3 linked regions of the Caenorhabditis elegans genome follow. The protein of the gene in region 3 interacts with the protein of the main gene of each other region in a pairwise test. Each region holds a gene or a part of one and is shown on either strand. Other genes may lie near its edges.

Evidence for each region. The genes of interacting proteins can lie anywhere in the genome.
Region 1: the proteins of aha-1 (region 3) and cky-1 interact in a two-hybrid assay, tested with the Caenorhabditis elegans proteins (3 studies listed by BioGRID).
Region 2: the proteins of aha-1 (region 3) and hif-1 interact in binary tests that used the Caenorhabditis elegans proteins (3 or more experiments, as listed by UniProt).

What each region holds. Positions count from the first base shown.
Region 1 is NC_003283.11:12,734,288-12,742,367, reverse strand, and holds cky-1 (PAS domain-containing protein cky-1), read right to left. Parts: upstream 5,666-8,080; 5' UTR 5,618-5,665; coding exon 5,382-5,617; intron 4,641-5,381; exon of another isoform or gene 4,452-4,640; intron 3,885-4,451; coding exon 3,374-3,884; intron 3,256-3,373; coding exon 3,041-3,255; intron 2,990-3,040; coding exon 2,883-2,989; intron 2,835-2,882; coding exon 2,669-2,834; intron 2,230-2,668; coding exon 2,004-2,229; intron 1,954-2,003; coding exon 1,384-1,953; 3' UTR 1,163-1,383; downstream 1-1,162. Other genes in the region: hrg-7 (Aspartic protease 10), read right to left, coding at 1-185, 228-298; xbx-9 (XK-related protein), read right to left, coding at 6,389-6,942, 6,997-7,153, 7,415-7,562, 7,649-8,080. UniProt on the Caenorhabditis elegans protein: Transcription factor. Efficient DNA binding requires dimerization with another bHLH protein, such as ARNT homolog aha-1. Regulates transcription of target genes, probably acting in complex with aha-1.
Region 2 is NC_003283.11:20,778,425-20,786,422, reverse strand, and holds hif-1 (Hypoxia-inducible factor 1), read right to left. Parts: upstream 6,017-7,998; 5' UTR 5,922-6,016; coding exon 5,902-5,921; intron 5,109-5,901; coding exon 4,918-5,108; intron 4,792-4,917; coding exon 4,637-4,791; intron 4,592-4,636; coding exon 4,277-4,591; intron 3,952-4,276; exon of another isoform or gene 3,888-3,951; coding exon of another isoform or gene 3,855-3,887; intron 3,760-3,854; coding exon 3,201-3,759; intron 3,098-3,200; coding exon of another isoform or gene 2,895-3,097; intron 2,686-2,894; coding exon 2,358-2,685; intron 2,288-2,357; coding exon 2,031-2,287; intron 1,951-2,030; coding exon 1,778-1,950; intron 1,730-1,777; coding exon 1,562-1,729; 3' UTR 1,163-1,561; downstream 1-1,162.
Region 3 is NC_003279.8:10,192,859-10,199,137, forward strand, and holds aha-1 (Aryl hydrocarbon receptor nuclear translocator homolog), read right to left. Parts: upstream 4,140-6,279; 5' UTR 4,133-4,139; coding exon 4,089-4,132; intron 3,926-4,088; coding exon 3,817-3,925; intron 3,373-3,816; coding exon 3,061-3,372; intron 3,010-3,060; coding exon 2,892-3,009; intron 2,608-2,891; coding exon 2,366-2,607; intron 2,323-2,365; coding exon 2,114-2,322; intron 1,629-2,113; coding exon 1,301-1,628; 3' UTR 1,067-1,300; downstream 1-1,066. Other genes in the region: mrpl-34 (Large ribosomal subunit protein mL43), read left to right, coding at 384-603, 699-1,048; C25A1.15 (Transposase), read left to right, coding at 4,463-4,738; Y106G6E.1 (Protein kinase domain-containing protein), read right to left, coding at 5,428-5,553, 5,602-5,718, 5,972-6,246. UniProt on the Caenorhabditis elegans protein: Transcription factor. Efficient DNA binding requires dimerization with another bHLH protein, such as cky-1 or ahr-1. Regulates transcription of target genes, probably acting in complex with cky-1. Has a role in cellular differentiation.

The DNA of each region.
Region 1 (8,080 bases), on a different chromosome or scaffold from region 3:
CAAAGTTCTGAGCTGGGCTTCCTAAACTAATTTGAACCATGTATGCCATATCCTCATAATCAATAACTGGGGACGAGGATGATGCCAATTGAAGGCTCTTCTTTGACAGAAGTTCGTTGCGTTCCTTTTCATATTCTGCCAATTTTCCTTTGGCATTCATACGTTGACGCATGTTTGGTCGGTATCTAATAATGGAAAATTGAGCTCAATTAATCAGTAAAACTTACCCAATATTAAATTGGTGGACTTCTGCAGAGACCACAGTCAAGAGAGCTAACAATGCAATAAACGTCTTCATGGCTTCCAACTTTTTTCCCCTAATTTAACCTGTAAATGTATTATATAGCTTGAATTAATTGAAACTGGTTGACGAAAACAAAACTGCAGCGAAAAATTAAATGGAAAACTCACTTCTTTTCGGCACTATCAGTTCGGCATTGGAATATATAGTATGAGATAGGAGGAGCAGACATATGATGCAACTAATGACTATCATATTATGTCTCTTATGGGCGGCTTGATGTTGAAGTTCGCCGATTTCTTTTCAGAATTGAACCCGGATTGATAAACTGTGCTTTGTGATTCGTTGAAGTTTGTCATGTTTTTGTTGTGTTTAGCACAATTTTGTCAGTTTTAATGCTTTTATTTATGTACGCAATTATTCGAACAAGGAATGGTAGTCAAGGTAGTCTCAAACGTCAAAACGAATTGAATATCATCTGAAACTAACTTTAATTTAGGCTAGCTTACCACACACATTTAGAGCAGATCTTACCTCGGATTCCTTCAAAGTTCTGACCCGAAAATTCTCAACCAAAAATGGTGCCGATTTGTCAAGTTTTAAAATTACTTCAAAATAATCTATTGGTGCCGAAGGATAATAAACATAAGTGGCCTGCTTTTTTTTAAAAGGAGCTTGGATTCCATAAAAAAAATGAACTGAAAAAAATTCAGATCATCATTTGAAAGGTTCGTTTGACCGTTGGAAATATTTTTTTGTCTCTAGATAAAATCATACGTTTTTACTGCAATACAACTTATTTCGAAGGCTATTTTGACGAGAATTATTTGATTGATTAAACCTGGAGACTAAAATTCAATAAATAATTATTTTTGAAGTATTGTAAATTTTTTCAGTAATGCTTTATCTTGTGGAATAAAAAACAATAAAATATTTATTAAAACTTACAAAGAGGAGAATTATAAAATTGAAAGAATGATATAGTCAATATGTGAAAGCTCTTGTAAATCTACCCGGATAAATACTGATAATGAATGAAAATGAAAGACATCAATTGAAAAGTCTATAATGGAAATAAATATAAGAGATAAATTTGAGTAATGGAATGAAATGAGATACTAGAGTACTAATTTTCAATTATTTTATACAGCCCAACTTCGTTTTCGGTTGTAATAATCAAAATGGTAAGGATGCGGAGGTTGGGAATGATGTAGGTGTTGATTGAGATGTTGATGATGGAATAGAAAGTTTGATTGTCCGTAATTTGATGGAGGACATGACATGGGAGGAATTGGAGTCATTTGAAGAGGATGATTCGGTTGGGATTGATGCTGTTGTTGGAGGTGGTGTTGATGTTGCATTGCAAAATTTCCATCAAATAGTGCTGGTCCTAGATATTTGTACAATTCGGCGGAATCAAATGCATTTGGCATAGAATGACGATGACCAAAATTAACATTTGAAGGAAATGAATGAGCTGGGGATGTTGCTGGAGATTGCTCAACTTGCCGAAGAATTTCGTCCACTTCATCTTTAAGCTCTGGGAGCACGTCATTTGAAGGTAAAATGTCTTCAAGAATGTCTAATGGGAATGCATTATGATGAGGAAGTAAAGATGTATGAAGGGATGCAGAACTCTCCGGTGATGATGACTCGGGGGTAAATAATGGAATTTGAGTATTGATTGGACGCATTGGAATTTCCACTTTTATCTGAAAGTTCATAAAGTTAAAATTAAATCGAAGTTTTACGTTCTAATCACCTGATTGTAATCCAATGACGGAAAACCTGGTGCGATTCCTGCTCCAATAAGAGGCTTCTGCTCAACGAGCATTGGCGGCTGCTCAGTGAATGGTGGAGTTTGCGGACTTGATGGTTGTTGTTCTTCGGATGGTGGTGGAGAATCTTGACATGAAAAAACTGTTGGGTAAGTGTGTCGCATGCTGTAGATCCAGGAATTCGCTTGAAGAGTCGCAGCTTCCAGATCACTGAAAAATTTAATTGTAGGGTCTAGCTTGGAGTTACGGAATATTTGTAAATCTTTGAAGGAGCTTTTCTGTAAATACTCTAATAATCATGTAACTTAACCCACTCAATATAATACTAATAACCTTCAAATCATATTAAATTTTAGAGACATTTCTGCCGAAGTTTTGGTAATATTCCAAATTTTGAGCAGTTTAGAACGATCTCGAATGTTTGAGATGTCTATGTACAACGTTTACAACATAATAGATAAAGCATAATTATAAAAATACGAAATCTTAGAAAAAATTGTTCTTAAGGATTTCCAAAGTTATGAGTGTATAGAACTCATAGTAAATAGAAAAGTAAAAAAAAACATATTTTTTTTACATTTTTGTTGATATGTGGAGTGGTTTTGGACGGGAAAAAGTCTTAAACTATTTTCGCGTTCATAAAACTTACGTAAGTTTCTGATGGAAGCAGTGTATAACATGACGAAGTCTTTTTCCATCACTATTCAACTCATTATTTGGTCGAATTGAGAATACTGTATGCAACCATATCCATTCTCCATTTGCAGCTTGTAATCGAATTAATGCAAGAACTGACCCTTCTTTCTCTTGACATACTGAAAAAAATTATGTAAAAGTATTTCACACAGTATCTTAAAACATACATAATCGATGTTTATGAGCAATTTCGGGTACATGATTAGGATGAATCATTCCGTACCAAGACATTCCTTTCAATTGCTCTTTACTGAATCCCAAATGTTGAGAGGCCCTGAAATTGATCAATAATAAAATTCAAGTTTTTAACATTTTTCATGCTTACATTGTATCGGCTTCCTTAAATTTCATATCCAAATAATGTTGAGTACTAAACACATGTGTATTTCCAGTGGACATTCCTTCAGCATTTTCTGGATTTATAAGAGGTTGACAATAAGCCGAGAAAACTGGCTGATCACAATCAGGTTGAGAGTTTTGAGCATTCAATTGTTGATAAAATTCGGCAGGTTGAATATATCGACCTTGGAATAGGACGAACTGAAAATCCCAATTTTTGCTTTGAAATAACATATTTTTGGCATTTGGCATGTCCCCAATGCAAAGTTAGCATGACTTCGAAAAAAATGATAGTATTCTAAATGAAGTTAATTCTTACTTTATGATACTGTAACTGTCGTTTTGCAGTTCTTGCCAAATTCAATCGACATATGAATACTCTTTCCTCCGGAAAAGTTGCAGCTCCTGGAGGTCCACTTGCAAGTTCTGCCTGTACAGCACCATGATCTCTCCCATCCACCAAATCATAAATTGAATCTCCCTGACACATAATCTCTTCAACTGAATGTCCCAGGTACTCGCTTGCATTATCGGAAACATGAAGTATTTTTCCACTTCTCGTGACCATTAACATGAATCCTCGAAGAGCTTTGCAGATATCGATGCCACGTGGCATTGGAGATGACATCTGCATTTGTAACATTTGCAGCTGGGGTTGTAGAACTGTTTGTTGATATCTATGTTTCCGTATGAAAATACACCCAAGGGACATCACTTGTAACTGGAAAAGTCGATCCTTGATAAGATCTGATAGAGGAAGAAGATCTCGAAGCTTCTGAATCTCCACATTGATCTGATCTCTGCGTTGCTTTGAAGCTCCACGAGTTGACCTAGAAAATACGAATTGTTTGTATAGACTGTGACGCAATATGTTAATTTCTTGGCGCATGAGAAATGAAGAACGAATGTTTGCATTGGTATCCGAGGGGAGAAAGTTTAGATTGTGAAACGGTTTGAAAAGCTTCATCTCTAAATTTCCCGGGGTGAGAAGATTTACTTTTAATTTCAAATAAAATAATGTTCGTGAAATTTTCTAAGGTAAAAATTATACGCTAAACATCCAAGAAAGTTCTCTATGATTTTTGTTATGATTTTTGTTTTCAAATATAAAATAAATTAGCACATTTTAAATATGCATATTCAGATAAACAAACGTCAAATGGTACAATAACCAGTTTTTGGAATCTACTAAACTCGGCCGGGCTCAAATTTGAGTTTTATTTTTGCTGAAATCTCTACTTCAAGCGTATCGAAAAATGTATACTCACTATCAAAGGAACCTTAAACACTTCTCAGTTATTTAATAAATTGAGCTTTGAATTGAGCTTTGAGCCACTTCTAACTCGTGTTTGTCTTTTTATGGCGCAATATGTAAATTCTGCTAATTCATTCTCTCCGATTTTCTCAGCCGTTCGTTCATATTTACTTTTAAATATACAGACTCTGTGGGATATTCACCTTATTTCATTTCAACACACACGTGACGTCAGAGTGTCCGTGCGGAAAAAGAGCGGAGCACGGAAAGTTCCGCGCGGAAAGAAAAAGGTCTTTGAAAGAAGTTGGTCAAACTTAGAACATGATGACCCTTTAGCGGGAGGTGAAAGGGAGACAAGAAATTGAAAATGTTTATTTAAGAACTGGTTAGGTTTCGAAACTTGTAAGATATCCGGGAAGAAATTTGAGCTTTTGAAAATTTGGGATTAATTGTGAAATCATTATCTTATCATAGACATAGACGAACATAAGAAAAGTTTTAGACCACATTATTGTGGACTATATACATCTTCCAACTAGGCCTAAAAATACCTACTCTCCTGCTTACACGCATGCCATAAATAGAAAAATAAACAGAAGAGAAACTTAATTTGTTATGAAAAATCATACTGTAAGGGGTAACTTTGCAAAAAATTCACTGCTCAAATTTAAGACCAGATACGGCTGCCTTGTTGGAACGCTTTTTAGAATTTTTAAATTGCATGGAAGACCTAGTAATATCCGTTTCTTCACTTTATTGTGAATATTGAATTCCTCAAAATGGTATTATTAGGCTTTGAACAATTGACATCTAAACATTTTGTTTTTGAAAATTACTGTCAGCTTTTTTAAATAGTCAAAACCTAATCATATCCACTATGAAAAATAGAACCCCTGCAAAATTATTGAGCAAAATTATGAAACTATAAAACTGATGGCATGGATGGAGGATGAGTTTCTAGGATCTAGGATTTCTAGGATGGTTGAACTGATAATTGAACTTAGCAAAGTTTTCAGAAGAAAGATAGAAAAATAAAGTTTGAAGTGGAATGATATAATTAGATACAACTCACCTTTGCTGGCCATTGACTAAGTTGCTCCCATTAGAGCTTCCTGCTGAAGACATTCCCATTGTATTATTATTAGGAACATTAATTGAATTGTTGTTAAGTGCTGAACCACTACTGCCAACCGATGCTCCAACGTGATAGGCACAATGTTGCAGTTGAAGAGCTTGTTGAACTCCGCCTCCAGCTCCGGTTGTTCCGGAAGAAAAGGAAGAAGCATGTAGAGGCACCGTCGTGCTCATCTCTTTCTTCACGGAGCTCTTCGTGCAGCCACGCAGACTATGCGATATGTGCGGGAACACGGGCGATCTTCGTGAGGTCACGCCCTGACCATCTACCTCCCGAACTCCGCGCGGACACCGCGTGTTACGTCACTGACTATCTCCGCCCGCCTAGAAAAGGAAAGCACCTCTCTCGTTTCGAATGGACAGTAATCCTCACTGTACTTGAGAGAGCCATGGCCGCGGCCGCGACTGGCGCGTCCATTGTTTGCTCGATCACTCTCTCTTACTTTCATTTACTCTCTCAGATTTCAATTTCACTCATCTCTTTCATTTTTCCATCTTGTAGGTTAAGGAAGTACGGGGGGAAGTACCTAGTTACTGCCCCCCAGGTACTGACCACTGTCTCTGCACTCTTTGTTTATCAACACGGAGGTGAGGAAAACCGCTAGCTAAGCGGTGCCAGCATGTTGCAATAGGTAGCAAAAGTGAGTGTACACTGAGAAATGTGTACTTTTCTTTTTCCGCATTTTGACCTTTCTAGGAAATTGAGTACTTTTGGCGTATGTTAAGTGATACTTAGGGAGAGCATTAAACAGGGTTAGTTTTTACTAATTAAAAAAAAAGCTAAACACACATAATAAACAGTTATAATGAGTTCTAAATCATAACTTTACTGTCGTAATTATGCATTTACCGGAGTTGTTTTTCATTTTAACTTTTGAAATTTGTTAACAGGGAGTTTATTTAGTGAAAATGAAAAATTCAAATTAACTTAAAACTCTTAAGCTCTTAGTTCACTTGAGCTGCAGGATGTCCGTTATCATATGCCATTGATGGAGTATAGACAATTGTTGTTTGCATGTTTTGTGGAAGTTGAAGCATACCAGGAGCGAATCCGATTCCAGGATACATTGGTGGAGCTTGTGGATGACCATGAGCTGCACCATGAGCTGGCGAAGGTACTTGGTGGGGAATTGGCATGGGTTGAGGATGTTGAGCGACTGGAGCAATAGCATGATTAACTGGAGGATTTGGAGGTGTTGGTGGTGGTGGACTCTTTTTCTCTCCGGTATCCATTAGCAATGGTTGATTTTGGGTTGCGATGAAGACCTTGTTCTGTGTGGCGGTTGGATTTCCAGTTGGGTGATGTTGACGACGAATCCATTGATCAATGGCAAATCTTGATGAAACGGTTAGGAAGAAGGCAACTAGCATGAACAGGCTCATGAACAAACGAACAGTGTCAAATGTCAGAAGTTGAATTGCCAGTGCAGTGTAGTATACAGTTTTTTCATCGTCCGAGTTCCAAAGGTATGGCGCGAAAAGTTCGGCGATTTTCACATCTGAAAAGAATACGATAAAACCAATTAAAATTCAATTCAGTTGCAAAAACTTACAAAACTCAAACCATTGAGGAATATTCATTACAATTACAGCAGCTGCTCCAAAACCAAGACGGCTACGTGCATCATCGACAACTGGATCACCAGTCAGAACTGCCATGTTTGTTCCGGCTGCTGGTTTTGGTTTGCACATTAATCCAACACACAAGCACTGGAAAACATTTTTGATTTTCTATATTTAAATTTCATTTGAAGGTGGAATTGTTGAATTACTGTCAATAGATATGTGTAGGGGTGTAGAAGTAAAGTGCAAAACAATTACACTGAAAACGATCTTTAAATAGGATCACACCACTTGTTGGCTTCGGTTAAATTTTCTACTATTCTTTGGATTTTTTCACACTTTGTTTAATACCTCACTAATGTATAACTGGGCACTGATGTCCACCTTTAGAGATCAAAAATAGATTACCACTAGAAGCTCGGCAATGATTCCCACTGTGCACAAAAGGTAGGTAAAAAACAGTGCAGAAGCAGGAAGTGGGTTCCATTGGGATGCGATGAAATGATATGAACCAGAGAGTATAGCAGCAAAGAAGAGCACAGCAAAGTAAGATGTCCTGGAAAATATCGGAGGCATCAACTATTCATTTAACAAAAAATGTTATTCAAGATTTTTGCTGTGTCATTCTAACCATTTTCTTACCATGAATCACAAGGATTAAAGTTTTGTCTTTTCCTTGCAATTACAATCAACGCCGAGAGAAAAATCACAGATCCAATGGATGTAGTGAGGACTGCTGTAGTGTAAAACCAGTTGAAGAACATCAGAAAAACCATGTACCACCATCCATAAGCTCCAAGCATGATACTGTAGATAGCCAGTGCAATCTTGAACAGAGATGACAGTCCAAGTGGAATGTAGACAATAGTCAGAAAGACCTTCGTGATATCACGCTTCATTTTCAAAGAAAGCAGAAAGAAAACTGCGATGATTGAAACTTCAATTGCGGAGAGTCCAGCTCCAATTGGTCCTCCGTAAAATGCTTTCTTTGTGTAGAGTTCATCAGGAAAATCACAGCTTATCTTCACTTTTTTCTTCACAGTTGTTGAATTACAAAAAAGAGTGGTAAGTAAA
Region 2 (7,998 bases), on a different chromosome or scaffold from region 3:
AAAAGAGCGAACCTATTCAAAAGTAAAGCAATAGTTATTGAAATTTTGATAAAATGAAGAATTCAAAACTTATTGTTCGGTGCTTGGGAACCAAAAATTTCCGACAACCAACAACTTTGGTAAATATCTTTTACCTTATTGTTTAAAGCACTTTGTGTTCAGAAAATGTTGTGTGGTTATGCAACACACCAGAAAGAAGTATGACGTGAGCGAAGGTTATCAAGAGGGCATCAACACGTGTGAATAGAACTGAACTCATTTGTTTGTTATATATTTATTACCGATTTAACCTCATCAATAAATTGTGGGTTCGACTAATTACTACAATTCTAACGGACACAACAGAAAAAATTGCCGTGTACCCCTGATTTGGAATGGCAAATTGAACTAGGCAGTTGTTTTAGTTCCGAAACAGTAGTTTTGATAATTCTAGATCTTGATCTTTGATATGGAATTTCAAACCACTTTTGCAAAAAGAATCGGTTTGATTAGTGAAACTTAGCATATTGAAACTTATAAAATTGCATAAAACCCCCGATTGTCGGAAATTATTGAAACTGACAGTTTTCAACATTGACTATTGCATGACCATTTTTTAGTTTTTCTTGTGCAAAACCGAAAAATCGAAAAACCGAATAATTGGAAAACAGAAAAAAGTAAGAAAATTTTTCATTTTTCGCTTTTTCCACAAAAAAAACCGGAGGTCTGATGCGTATATGTATTCATTATCTATTAATATGAATGCAATACTATTTTTCAAAGCGAATGCATTACAACTAGGTTGTGCAATACTAATTTTCATACGCCTTTTTTGTTTAGGATTCCATGTTTTCATTTACAAGAACAACTGTTTCTGAAAGACATTTTGCAAAATTGTGGTTAATTGGAACAAAAATGCAATAATCCTAGCCTTGTTGTAATTTTGCAAAAAAACATTTCAAAATAAACAGTCTAAATTTTAGAAGGTGTTCGAGGTGCAGTACTACTAAGAAGTGAAAGTCTAATAGGAAGATCGTACGTTTGAAGTAATTTGTAAATCAAGACGAATAGATTTAGACGCGTTTTCACTTTACAAGCTCATACCTCAAAATTTCAGATATTTTCCACAAAAATGAATGCTAAACTCTGTAATAGTGCTTTTTGTAAAGTTTTAAAAAGATGATCAAACCAAAAAGGTTTTATCGAGAAGAAAACGAAGACGGACAGAATTTTGAAAATGAATGAGACGAGAGCATTGTGAAAAAATGAAAAGAAAACTTAACATAAGAAGATTCGTTGTATAAATGATGCAATTAACTATCACTATGGAGATGGGAAAAACGGACAAACGGACACACAGATAGACACGTTTTGTACTACGATTCTTCTTTTTTTTACTAAATAAAGAAATCAGAGGGAAAGGGAAAAAGGAATGGGGGAAAATTTATCGGGGAGGATTCTTGAAACTCATTATTCTTAAAAAGAGCAATAGAATTAAGTAATAAGAAGTGTGACTTGAATGAATGAAGAGTATATTTTTGAAAACAAAACAATGAACAGTTTGAGAGGGGGTAGAAAATAATCAAGAGAGCATTGGAAATGGGGAATAAGAACTAGGCTGTTGTTCATTTTGCTGTTGCTGTCCTTGCCAATATGTCTCGTCTTGTTGGAATGGTTGATAATGTTGAGTGTACATAAAATCTAAATCTGAGGGACCTGATTGGTGCATTCGCTTCGCTGGTGGGCTTCTCTGCAAAAATTAACATAATGTTAGGAGCCAAAAACAAAACAGGCTTACGTCAATGTGCACAGGCCGAGCAGCTGGGGCTTGAGGTACCGCAGGTGTAAAGTCAGGCAAGTCGTAAAGAGCTTGAAGCTCTGGTGGTAACCCCTCGTCCATTTGCATCATATCATAAGTGTCAACGAATGGTGCCAAGCACGATAAATCAGGCTCTTCCCATTGAAGATCGTCTGAAAGTTAAACATTTTGTTGAAAGTTATCTGATTTCTTTCACGAATGAGATTGATTTGAACATTTAAAAAAAACTAACCACAAAGTATTGGTTCGCCAGAGGTTAATGTTGGCGACGAATCGATCCTTTCGGCAATGGCGATAGAATCGGCAAAAGGCATAGTGGAGAACACATCATTGCTTCCGATGACTGGGTTGATGCCTCTAGTGGACGACACATTGAGAGTATCTGATGGTGAAAGGGCGGAAAAGCGTCGTGACGAATCGGACGGATCGCAGCTACGTCCCATAGATCGAGCGTCTCCGTACACGACTTGTCCAGATTTGATACTGCAACTGATACAAGGATATTATAAACATGTACATGCTCAACGTGCTAATTGTGAAAAATGTATAAAAAACTAACCTCGGGGGACTGTTAAGTCCACATTGTGAGATGCCCTCTGCAAGTGGCGAGTAGTTGGCACTGTGTGGCAATGTGGCCGATGCTGACGTGGAAGACGATCCAGTTGTTCGACTTCCCTGACTTTGTGCTCTTCGTCCGTATGATGTCTTCGGTCGGGAGGTACGAGATGACGAATCCATGAAGTCCGGCGAGGCCAGAGCGGAACCGAAATTCGACGGTTCGGTTGTCCTGAAGCGGTCCGCTGACCGGTAGCGTGCCGGCGGCGGAGAGCTTGGCTGGTCGCGAAAAAGCCATTGCAAAACGTCATCGTAGCTGTTCTTACGTGCTCCTGAAATACACACGTTAAGAAATCACTTGCTAAATGTATGGAACTTTGAGTAGGCGTAGGGTAAAAAATAATACGACATGCATGGACAAGTTTGACAAGTTTGAAAATAAGAAAAAGAGAAACTCACGGAGGTATGAGGACAACGGAGGGGAAAACTGCGATCTGTTGTTTTTTTAACTTAGTAATCATAATCCCATTTCCCAAAGTACCTCCTCTCCGCCGTCCTCATCCTCTCCGTCAACTTCCATTTTCTCATTATAAATCGGAGCCAGATCCACATCGAATTCCGGTGCTAAACCGGAATCTTCTATGGATTCTGTATCAGAATCCATATCGCAGTCTTCTATATCATTGCCGGCAGAAATTTGCCCATAAACACGTTGCTCATACTCATCCGTCACCGAATAAATTCCTATATACGTACCTCGTAAATTATTCAATTTGGATAAAAAAAACTTAGGTGAATCAAACTGTATAATTACAAACTTTTAATACGTTCTTAAACATGTACTTACCCATATCAGCCTGCTTAACAGGTTCTTCTCCACCAACGACTGGCTCAATAACCGTATCAAATGGATCTTCTGGCTCGATCAATGGAGTAAAATCGACGCATTCCACAATTTCAGGTTGTCTTCCAATATAGTCTCTTGTATCATCCACTTCCTTCTTGATATCTACTTGCATTCCAGCTGGCATTGAATCAGTGCAAACTACCAATGACTCTTCAGCTCCTTGGATTCCGAGAACGTAATGAACACAAATGACATATTGTCCTTTTTGTCCTTTCGTCGTATGTGTGATTGTAGTAGCTTCTGTTTGAATCCAGGCAAGTGTGTCATTTGCAGCAATCAACCGGTAATACGGGGTACGGATGTGTCCTTTGGCAAAAAGTTCCTTCATGGATTTTGATACTATCATCATATCGGCTGGATGTACCAATTCGTAGAAACTGGTGCCCATGAGAGTCTTCAGCTCACTTTTCAAGATGTAATTGAACTTATCCGAAACGAAAGTGATGCGCATGTCGCAAGTGTGACGAGTTGTGAATGCACCCATTGGGCTTTCCGTGTACTGTAAATTAATCCATCTATATTTTTATTAAACTTATAGCATCTATAAATCTGATTTGAAAAAGTTTTCGAATATACACGCCCTTTAGGACTCACTTTTCTATCTAGGTATTCAGAGTCCCTGCTCATTTTACTTTTGCAAACGGAGCAGCAATACAAGATGTAACATCTTCTCCGTTTTCTCTTCTGCTTCAAAAAAGGAGAAGATGACGCCAAGTTGCATGTGCTTGTGCTTCTCTACTTCTCTCCAATTTTCTAATCCTGTTTTCTATGCGCGAGGTGCCAACGGCTGAGTGTGCTTTGCTCAAAGCACTATTCTCTATTTTAAAGATCAAAAGAACAAACTTTTCGAGCGAGCAGAAGAATAAGAAGAAAATGAAATTGTGTAACGTCTACTCAACATTTTGTCTCACAATTCCATCAGTTTATCAAGAAGCGGAAAGGAGGAGCAGAAATTCCCAAGATCAAAAGTTCAAACTTTAGAATCTTACTATGAAACATTCAAAGCAGATATTCACCTTTGTCATTGCAGATGCATTTGCATTAGTTGTACCCTGTCCAGCAGGAATTGTGATACCTTGCATGAATGACACGTGTCCACCAGTTGAAACTTTTGAATGAACCAGGAAAGACACTGATTTGTACAAAGCACTCTTCAAATTCAGACATCTTCCACGTGGGCTGATGACTGTCTTCATTCGAAGCACCATGTTGATGCCGGTGGTGTCTGTGTCCTCGCCACGTGGCTTGTGCAGCATTTTTGATTGCTTGTCAAACTCGTCATAGTCGGATGGATGAAGAAAGTCTCGAAGGGCTCGACCTGTTAAATCTGTCTGAAAATATATCGATGTTAAAGAAGCAAGTTTTCTATTGCTCACCTGTGTTAATCCTAAATACATTGCAACACTTTCAGTGACGTAAAGAATTGAAGAATCACTGTCAACAATCATAACAAAGCCGTCCAAGCATTCGGCGATGGTGTCTTCAGTCCATACCTCATTTGTGATTTCATTGTCCAAATTGTTTTCCAATACTGAAAGAAAAATATTAATTTGAGAAAAATTGGCAGTGATTTTTGGTCGATTTTCTCAGCATAAAACACGATTTTCAAGTGATTTTTGATGTTGAATCAACTATTTCTTTATTCGATGTCACTTACCATTACCGGCTGTCTTGCGCAGTCGACAAATTGTGGCGGCAACACGAAGAAGTGCAATACGGTCTAGATGAGTTACGGTACCTTCTTCAACAATAGGCACACACATTTTCAGATCATCAAATATATCCGATTCTTTAGACCGACGATCACGAGCCGCGTGTCTCGATGTTTCACGACGGCGTTCCATGTTTCTAAAAAGTTTGATTTTGAATTTCTTGTCACCCCAAAATTGGTGAATTTCAAAAAATTATATACCTATATAAGTACACTTCTCATGAGGTTTTTCGATTTAATTTAGTTTTAAGTATAACTGGGAAAATTTATTTTTTCAAAGGTGGAGTAGGAGGAGCCAGTGGAGAAAGTGTTGAAAACTAATCCAATGGTACTAAAATGACCGAATATCAAATTAAAAATTGTCAAAAATTTTTTGAAATTGTTTATTTACCGTCCGTTAGATGATAATCACTCAATTTTTGCCACTCATAATTTTGGAAGCATAGTAGGGATCGGAACATGCGGCATTCCTCAAATACTTATGTTTGTAAAAATTTTGGCCATTTGCCAAAACTTTGACCGGAAATTATGAAAAATCTAAAAAATTTTTAAGTGTTTTATTATGATTTTTGGTTGTTTCGAGCCATTGTAAGTGTATTTTTTAGGCAAAACTGCCACTGGCGCTACTCCACCTTCAATCACAATTATTTCACAATTTATTTTCATAATTTACTTTATCTAACATCTCCGATTAAAAATGAGTTGTGTCTAAAAAGAGCGAGATATATTTTATATAGATGATTCACATTTGATATTCGATTCGGAAATGCGCATTTTCAATACATCTACCTCTGCCAATGCTCCCTCTCTCTCATTTGCGAGCAGAGCATGGAGCAAACCCAAAGGACTACGGTACTTCTAGCGTTTTCAGGCATCCAATCATGGAATGTTTAAGAATGAATTTCGATTCTAACAGAATTCTAACTCTACCTTTTCCGATTGTCTTCCATCTTGATAGTGAATAGGTGCAGCTTCAGTGAAGCTGAGGTTGGTGTGATTGGGGCAACTTCCCCGTAATGACGGGCAACTTTCAGGTGGGCTGAAAATGTATGACAATTTTAAATTGAATAGAATCGGGTAGAGGGAATTAGAAAAATTGTATCAAATGTTCTTAAAATTATCATTGAGAACATAAGGGGTTGTTAGATTTTCGAATGTTAACACTTTTGAATAAAAAATCAAGTTTAGTTATGATTTATAGCACTAGGGTAGAGTGTAGTGAGACAAATTGAAACATCATAAATACCAAGGGTGCACAAAACGATCGATTGGATATGTTAGTGACAGTTGTTTGGACGGGGTCCCAGAGGACGTCAAGATTTGTAACAATTTCATGGACAATTGACTATTTGTTAGGCAAGTATCATAAGAATGTTGCAGAAAACAAATCATAGAGATCAAATGCTCAATTTAAAACCCAAATCTAAAAACAAGAACTTAGGTAGACTGGAAATTTCGCTGAATTCAATTCAAGAAAAATTGTCAATTTCTTTATATTGAGTGAATACAAACTGATTACAAGAATCATGTGATAAGCCAGTGAAGGAGAAAAGGGCACACAAAAAGATTAAAAGCAAAATTTTCCCGATTCAAAAATATAAATCTGGATATTGATGTTACGTCAATGGTATGAATGGGGCAAGATTGAGGGGGTGACTAACATCAAACTATGAATGAACTACGATCAATCTTTGAAAAAATTGTAGTTGAAGTAAGTCAAAGAACAGGGGAATCACTAGAATGTAGTGTTTTCACCGAGCGTAAACAATAATGTTTTTGAAGATAACTATACTCAAGTTCAGAAAGGGTAGTTTGTGTAGTGATTTTAGTTTATCCTTATTATCAAGTGAATTTCAAATAAAATAGTTAAGATCGGGATTCAATCAATCTTTGGACTTAAAGGCGGTGTAGTCGAATTTTTAATTACTCTATTACACTCAAAATTGTCTGAAAACACCGAATTTTCTAATTAAATTTTTGAAAAGGACACAAAAAAACTATGGCGGCCCAAAATATGACAAAAAAATAAGTTTTCAGCCGCTGAGAGTTGCTCAAATTTTAAAATTTAACTGATTTTAGGTCCTTTTTGAGCCACCATAATTTTTTTGAGAAGTTTTCAAAAAGTTTCATTAAGAAATTTGGTGTTTTCAGACAGTTTTGAGTCTAATAAAGCTAGTCCTTACATCTCATATCACACTTTTTAGCTTAATCGAGAAATTGAAAATATCGATACATCAAGAGAGTGCACAATTAATATAAATCCTCAAAATATAATAAAGAATTGTCGAAAGTTATTGGAACATTAAATAAAATCAATAGTCATATGAAACGAGGGAAACAGATAGTCATCATCAACAAGCGGGAGGCGACGACAAAATGTAAGAAGAAAGATGTTGATAAGACAAGAAATTGAACGACAGTGGGCAAAACGACTTCTCAGAGACTGTCGATTGACAGAATGTTAGACAAAAAATTGGGGGAAAGCTAGAGTACAGAGAAGTAGAGTGACTGATAATTGATTAAATTTAGCGAAAATTGAGTTTAGTCCATATCTTTATAATGGAAAGGATCAACTTTTTCCGATATGTGGTTCAGGAGCTATGTTTTGACATTGGAGTTAAATAAAAATTTAAAATACAGATCAATGAAATCAAACCTATTAGCGTTACCTTTGAACTATAAGAATTAATAGATTTTCTGAAAATCTGAAATCTCTCATTAGAGAAAAACTGAGCAGCTAGTGGGCGGTGCCTACAAACCAAAGATGGGCATCCAAACATTTCTTCGTTGATCAAAAAATGAATTAGAGAAGTAGAGTTTTCTCTGAAAATTGAGAGAGGTGAAGAAAAACCAAAAAAAAGACCTCTCATCTAACACACTCTCTTGACCCAGTAAGTACATAAACCACGGAGACACGAGACAAGCAGGCAGACATATTGAATAGTGTGCGATTTGGAGAGAGTCCAAAGAGATGAGAGAGTGAGAGAACTAAAGAGAGGACAACGTCAGTAGTGCTGTCGCGACAGA
Region 3 (6,279 bases):
GTGTGGCTAAATAGGGGGCAAAGTGCAATAACAAGAAGAAATCACAGGAAAAAAATTTTGTCCTCGTGTACGACACGGCCGTGGCCTAGAATTCTCGGAGCTTCAAATGGAATTTATTAATTTTTTGGCTCGATATTTTCAACAAAATCTCTTGATATGTGATGATTAGTCACGTTTTTTCTATTTTAATGAAATTTGTTTGTGTAAATAACCTCGCGAAACCTGTTTTCGCATCAGCTGTCGTCGCTTTTGAACAAGACGCTCGTATTCTTTTCATTAGAGCGCCGTTGCCTTTCTTCATTTTGCCAATTTAACAGTACGATTTCTTATATTCTATTTCAATATTATACTTAAAGTTTATTTTATCAAACTCTCATTTTTAGATGCCATCGGTTCCACGTGTTGATCGCCTCAAACCCATTTACACAGCCGCAAAAGCTCTGAACTTTGGATGGCGATTTTCTGATTTTCTGAAAATTCCGGCTTATAATGGAATCTCGCGTTACACCAACCAACTTCATCGCATCACTGTCAGGTTTTGCAAACAAAGTGAATCCAGTGTCGGAGTTCGCAATTTTATTGAGAATCAACTCGTTGAAATCGGTAAGAATTTCTGTCTACGATCAAAAAATTAATAGAGAATCTAAATTAAAAGCTTCATTTTTTTTTAAATAAAGAAGGAAATCCGTTTTTTTCAGGCCGTAAAAACCCATCAGTTGTGATCTATGCCCAGCCTGTGCGAAACTCGAACCCATCAATCCGCGCAGAATATGGAAATGGTCGGACTCTACAGATCAATGCAAAAAACATGACACAAGACGAAGTGAGCAAAGATGTGCATTTGTTATTCTCAAGAAGCGGCGAACCAGTTGTGAAGCTAGAGAGTCGTCAAAGTGCATTGGTTCCTTCTATTCAAGGTCAATGGACACCGATAACATGGCTTCCAACAGAAATGAACACGGAACAACTTCCAGCGAAACAGTTCTCAAAGCACAAGTCAACGGCAACGTCGGCGACGGAATATATTCTTCAAAATCCACCAAAATAAGCAATAATCCGTTATTTTATAGTTGTTTTCATTTATTCGTTGTTTTCTTTTGATTTTTTGACAATATTATTAGTAATAAAATTTAGTGTTCAGAATGAGTTGAATAACTCGTTGGTCCAGAAAAAAGGAAAAATACTGAACAGAAAAGTTAAGGAAATTGAAAAAAAAAGAAAACTTTTCAAGAAGTAGATAGAAATGAGAATCATTGGAATAGGCTTCAAAAAAAAATATATCAATTTCTAGAAATTATAATCACTGGTTATATCCATTCATCGGGTCCCATTGCCATTGTGCCTGTGGTGCTCCTTGAGCTTCAGGTCTCCATCCTCCACTACTCGATTGTCCGTAATCCACAGCACTTGGAGCACCGCCGAGCTCTCCAAATTCACTGGCTTGAGGTTGAGGAACAGTTGGTGCAGTGACCCAATTATTAATATCTTCTTGTGGAGCAATTTGATGTGTTGCAACCACGTATTCGAACTGTTCCGAGTATGGATTCATGAATTTGTATGCAGACACAGTACATGGAATGTAATCAGTACTGGTACGTACTCGAATATTTATTCTCATTGGTTGGTCACTGAAATGGAAATGTTTTTATTTAGTTAACATGGAATCTACTGCTATAGGTTTAAAGGAAAGTACATTTTTCGAAATGGTCCCGCCACGAATATTATTCGTGAAAAATTCGCCTGAAAATATTCCCTAGAACCGCGAAAATTACGATTAAAAAACTACGGTACCTGGTCTCGACAAGACAAATGTTTGTTTAATGAAAAAGGTTTGAGCCTTTAAAAAGTACGGTAATTTTAATGTTTCTACTCAATTCTCTTTGGTTTTTCATAGTTTTTTTGATAAAGGTATATTTATTTGTTTAAAAACTCACATAAGACAACATGTATTTTTACAAATAGTGAGAAAAACTATGAAAAATCGACGAAAATTCTACAGAGTAGAAAGTTTGAAATTGCAGTACTCTTTAAAACCGCACACACTCTTGAAAGCAGGTAATATGAAATTTGATGGACGCAAATTGTTCAAAAAGGTTTTTTTACGAAAACTTACCTTAAAAGAGCCACAAATGAGTCTTGAAGGGTCTTCTCATCTGCTGGATGTGCAAGATTCCACCAATATCTTCCGATAAGTTGATCACTGCTCAAACCAATTAAATCACTAACCCTCGCATCAATAAATGTCATTTTTCCATCTTCCGAAACACGAACCGAAAATTGATTTGTTGATGTTGGATCAGCACAGACCGGCATTGATGCTACCTTTAATTAAATCACGTTTATCTGCATCGTAAACTATTCTAACCTGTAACCTGGCAATTGCCACCAAACAAGATGAAGCTGGAGCATTAATTCCCTGTGGTGGAGCATTTTTGATATATCCTGTGCAATGCATCACAACGTAATTTTGACCAGCATGTTGGAATAAGGGACGGCGATTTCTGAGACGATGAAGTGGTTCAAGGGCTCCGACACGCATTCGACAGATGAATCCACGACGACATGACATATGAACTCGTGTTGATGCTCCTTCGCGTTTCACTGATCCTAAAATTCAATGATTTTGATAGTTAACTTGAAGTGGGTTACTGTACTTTTAAAGATACACACATTTTAAGAGCGAGCAGATACCTTTTTGACGGAAAATCACAAATTTTGGGCATGCCAAAATCTAGTGAAATTACAATAGATGCTTTTAAAACAAATACTACTTAATTCGATTGACTGAAGTAAGTGGTTATTACTGTAAACGGTTCCAAGTTATATGACTACTTTGGAAAAAATTCAAAAAATCCTTGAATCTCTCCTCTTCTCTTTTTATGATAACTCACCAGATTTCAAATCGAGAACTTTATTAACTGATACTTCACTTCCACACAATTGATCTCTAATTTTATCTTGATCATCTGGATGTATGAGTTCATTCAAATTTCTTTGAAGCCAATCTTCCTAAAAATTAATATTTATATTTCAATAATGAAAGATTCAAATCTTGCTCACCTGCTTCAAATTAAGTACGGGAGTAATTGAATCAGCAACATATAACACTTTTCCAGTCTGACAACAAACAACAAAAAGAAATCCATTCGCTGCTTCTAGAATCAAATGTTTCAATTCTTGATCCGTAAGAAATGATGGTTTATATGAAGTTTCATCTTGTGCCGTATGTCCTCGAATTCCTTTCATGTGTGATACTGCCATTCGGAGAATCGTTAGTTTATCGGGTTTACGTCCAAGTGATGCACATTGTGGAACCATTTCGGCTAATTCATTTATGTAATGAGTCATTTTGTTACGGCGACGTCGCTCAATCTAAAACGTTTTCAGTTGAATTTGAAGCAAGAAATTTTACTTTTTCCATATTGAATTTTGATTTCAGAAATTTCAACCAAAGGGTTGGTAAATTGCCAAATTTTTAAACTTTTAGTTTTTAGTTTAATACTTGCAGAAAGAAAGATTTTTCGGTCGGCTTCCGAATTCATGATATGTGAAACTCTAAAATTGTGCCTATTTGAATTTTAATTATACAGTTTGAAATAATTTTTTAAAAAGTTCTCTATGACTCGATAATTTTAGCACCATATGTAGAAATTTTTAAAAAATTTAAAATCGCTGGAAATTTAATTTTGAGTTGTGTTACGTCCCATGAAAATTGCAGTTTTACAGGTCAAACAATACCCAGAGTATCGTACTTTTTATTTGAATTAATGAAACATAGCAGTATAAATTTTCAGATATAAATGTTCAAAACCTCACCTCTGAATGATTTTCCCTTGCAAATCTTTCCTTATTCTCTCCCATTTCATCTTCCATTCGAGCATATTTTCCAGATGGCATGCCCATATCTTCATCTTCCATTGCGAAGCTGAAATTATTTAAAATTTAAAATATAAGTTTAGAAGTATCCAAAAATAACCAGCAATAAGCATATCTGAATAGTTGTATTGCATAGAAAACCAATTTTAATCAACACATTTTTTGCAATAAAAAGCCATAACTTAAGCTAATAATGTCACACTATGCCTTACCTCGTCGCCGATTGCCATGGATCCATAAATATATCCTGAGCCATTCTGAAAACTATAAAGAAAAGTTTTTTTCTGTCGAAAAGAAGAATTGAAAGACACCAAAACAAATTATAGGCAATTGAATATATTAGGTGAAGAATTTAAAAAATTGAATTTTAAAACAAGTTGTGCAATGGATCGAGAGTAAATCAATTAATTATGTAAATCGTCGCTTCCTTGCCCGATGAGAGAGAAAGTATGGAAAATCTAGAGTAAGATGCGTCAGAGAATACTCTCCATTGTAGACACAATGTCTTTAAACACGCGATACGTATGTCTGAGTCTCCATTTTTCATATACTCTCACCAATCAATATTTCTTTAGGATGATGGGGGATGGGAAAGGAATGGTGTGAGAGAGAGGGGCGTGCGCGCTTTTTCTATTTGTCCAGTACCTCGTCACCAAACACCGTTGAGGACCGTATTATTACTATGAAGAGAGAAAGAAATGAAAAGAAATTGAGAGTGACCCCCCTACATATGGTCACTGGATATTTGAGAGAAGAAGCAACAGATGGAATTAGAGGGGAGAGACTTTTTAAGGATGATGAAGGAGGAAACGGAAAAAAATTAGAAGATGATGGATGGATGATAGGGCATATAAAAATGTGATAGTGATAATGCAAGAAAATAAGTGAAATAATGCACGCATTTATAGTGTGACCAGTATTTGAAAGTTGAATGACCACAATTGATTGATCAAATTTTTTTAACTTTCACACTCTCAATTAAAATCATTTTTTATTTGAAAGAAAACCTTTTGCATAGGCCCCTATAAAACATTCTGCTACATGCCTCGCACTTTGAACTAAAAAATATCGACCTGAAAACTGTTCCTTGGATGTTTCCAACTTTCGAGTTTTGTGAAATTGTTCCAAAAGTGTAGTTTTTTATCAAGTTAAAGTTTTCTTTCTAAAAAAACACACATAATTCAAGCTTTCAGAATGTTTGTTTCAGATCGACTTTTCCACTCGGCCTTTTGTAGATTTAGAATGCACTAGAGTTTGGCATAAGTTTGATTTTATTCATGTCAAACTTTGACCCAAACCTTTCTTGTATTGTTTTAAACTGTTGAAAAAAATATTGTCGCTGCCAAATTCTGGCAAAAAGTTGGTGTACAATGCCAAGCAGTCCAAGGCGCTCTTCGCCAGAGGAGCCATAGGACGAAACTCCATATTCAAATTAGTTATGCTTCTAAAAAGACAGATATAGTGACATATATTTCAATTTGGAGACCCCATTCAGAACTGTTCATATATTACAAAATTGATAATCTAAATATCAGTGCTCTTTTCTCGAATTCAACTCGTCTGCTCAACCGATTCATTCGTCAAAGTTGTATCTCCAGATTTCACGGATTGTAAGTCGACTGCAGAAAGACACAAAATCTTCTTTTTATTGAATCTCACCGTTTTCTCGTTGAATAACTAAAATCATTATGTTAGGTGACAATCATAAGGTTCAGATAAACTTACCACATTAAAGTACGGATGAGTGAGAATCTCAATTCCAGAGAGACGCTTGTTCGGATTGTAGACAAGGATTTGAAGAAGAACTGCTACTGACTCTTTCATGTCATCTTGCTCAATTTTCTGAAAAACAACTCTCTGGAGGTTTTCTTAAAGCTTTTTGCCTGAAACCGATTTGATTCCACATGCGCCTTATCGTTTGGTGCCTACTCTGTGCCTATCTTGTACCTAGCTTGTGCCGCGCAATCAATAACAGACTAGTGGTACATCAAATCGGTTTCAAATGTTAAGATGGTTCCGAATGTAGCACTTAAAACCGGTCGCTGATGAAAATTGTCTGAATTTTCAATGAACTCGTTCTTCGTATAATAATTACCGTATTATAGACTGTAGTTCTCCGATCCTTCTGATAAATGACTGTCTGTGTGTAGAGATAAGTCAAGTCGGCAGTTGTCTTCGATTTATTATATTCATATGAATCCAAAACTTCCTGCAACTTCGTGCTGCTCACTTTCATTGATGACACATCAGAATCTGTTGGGTATCCGAGCATATCGAAAATGACCTCCGCTTGATTGTTCGATGATTTTCCAGCCAAGATGATTCCGCCTTTCAGTAGCTCTCCAAATACACATCCGCAAGACCACGTGTCTGAAAAATTATATTCTAGCAAAAAACTCCAAG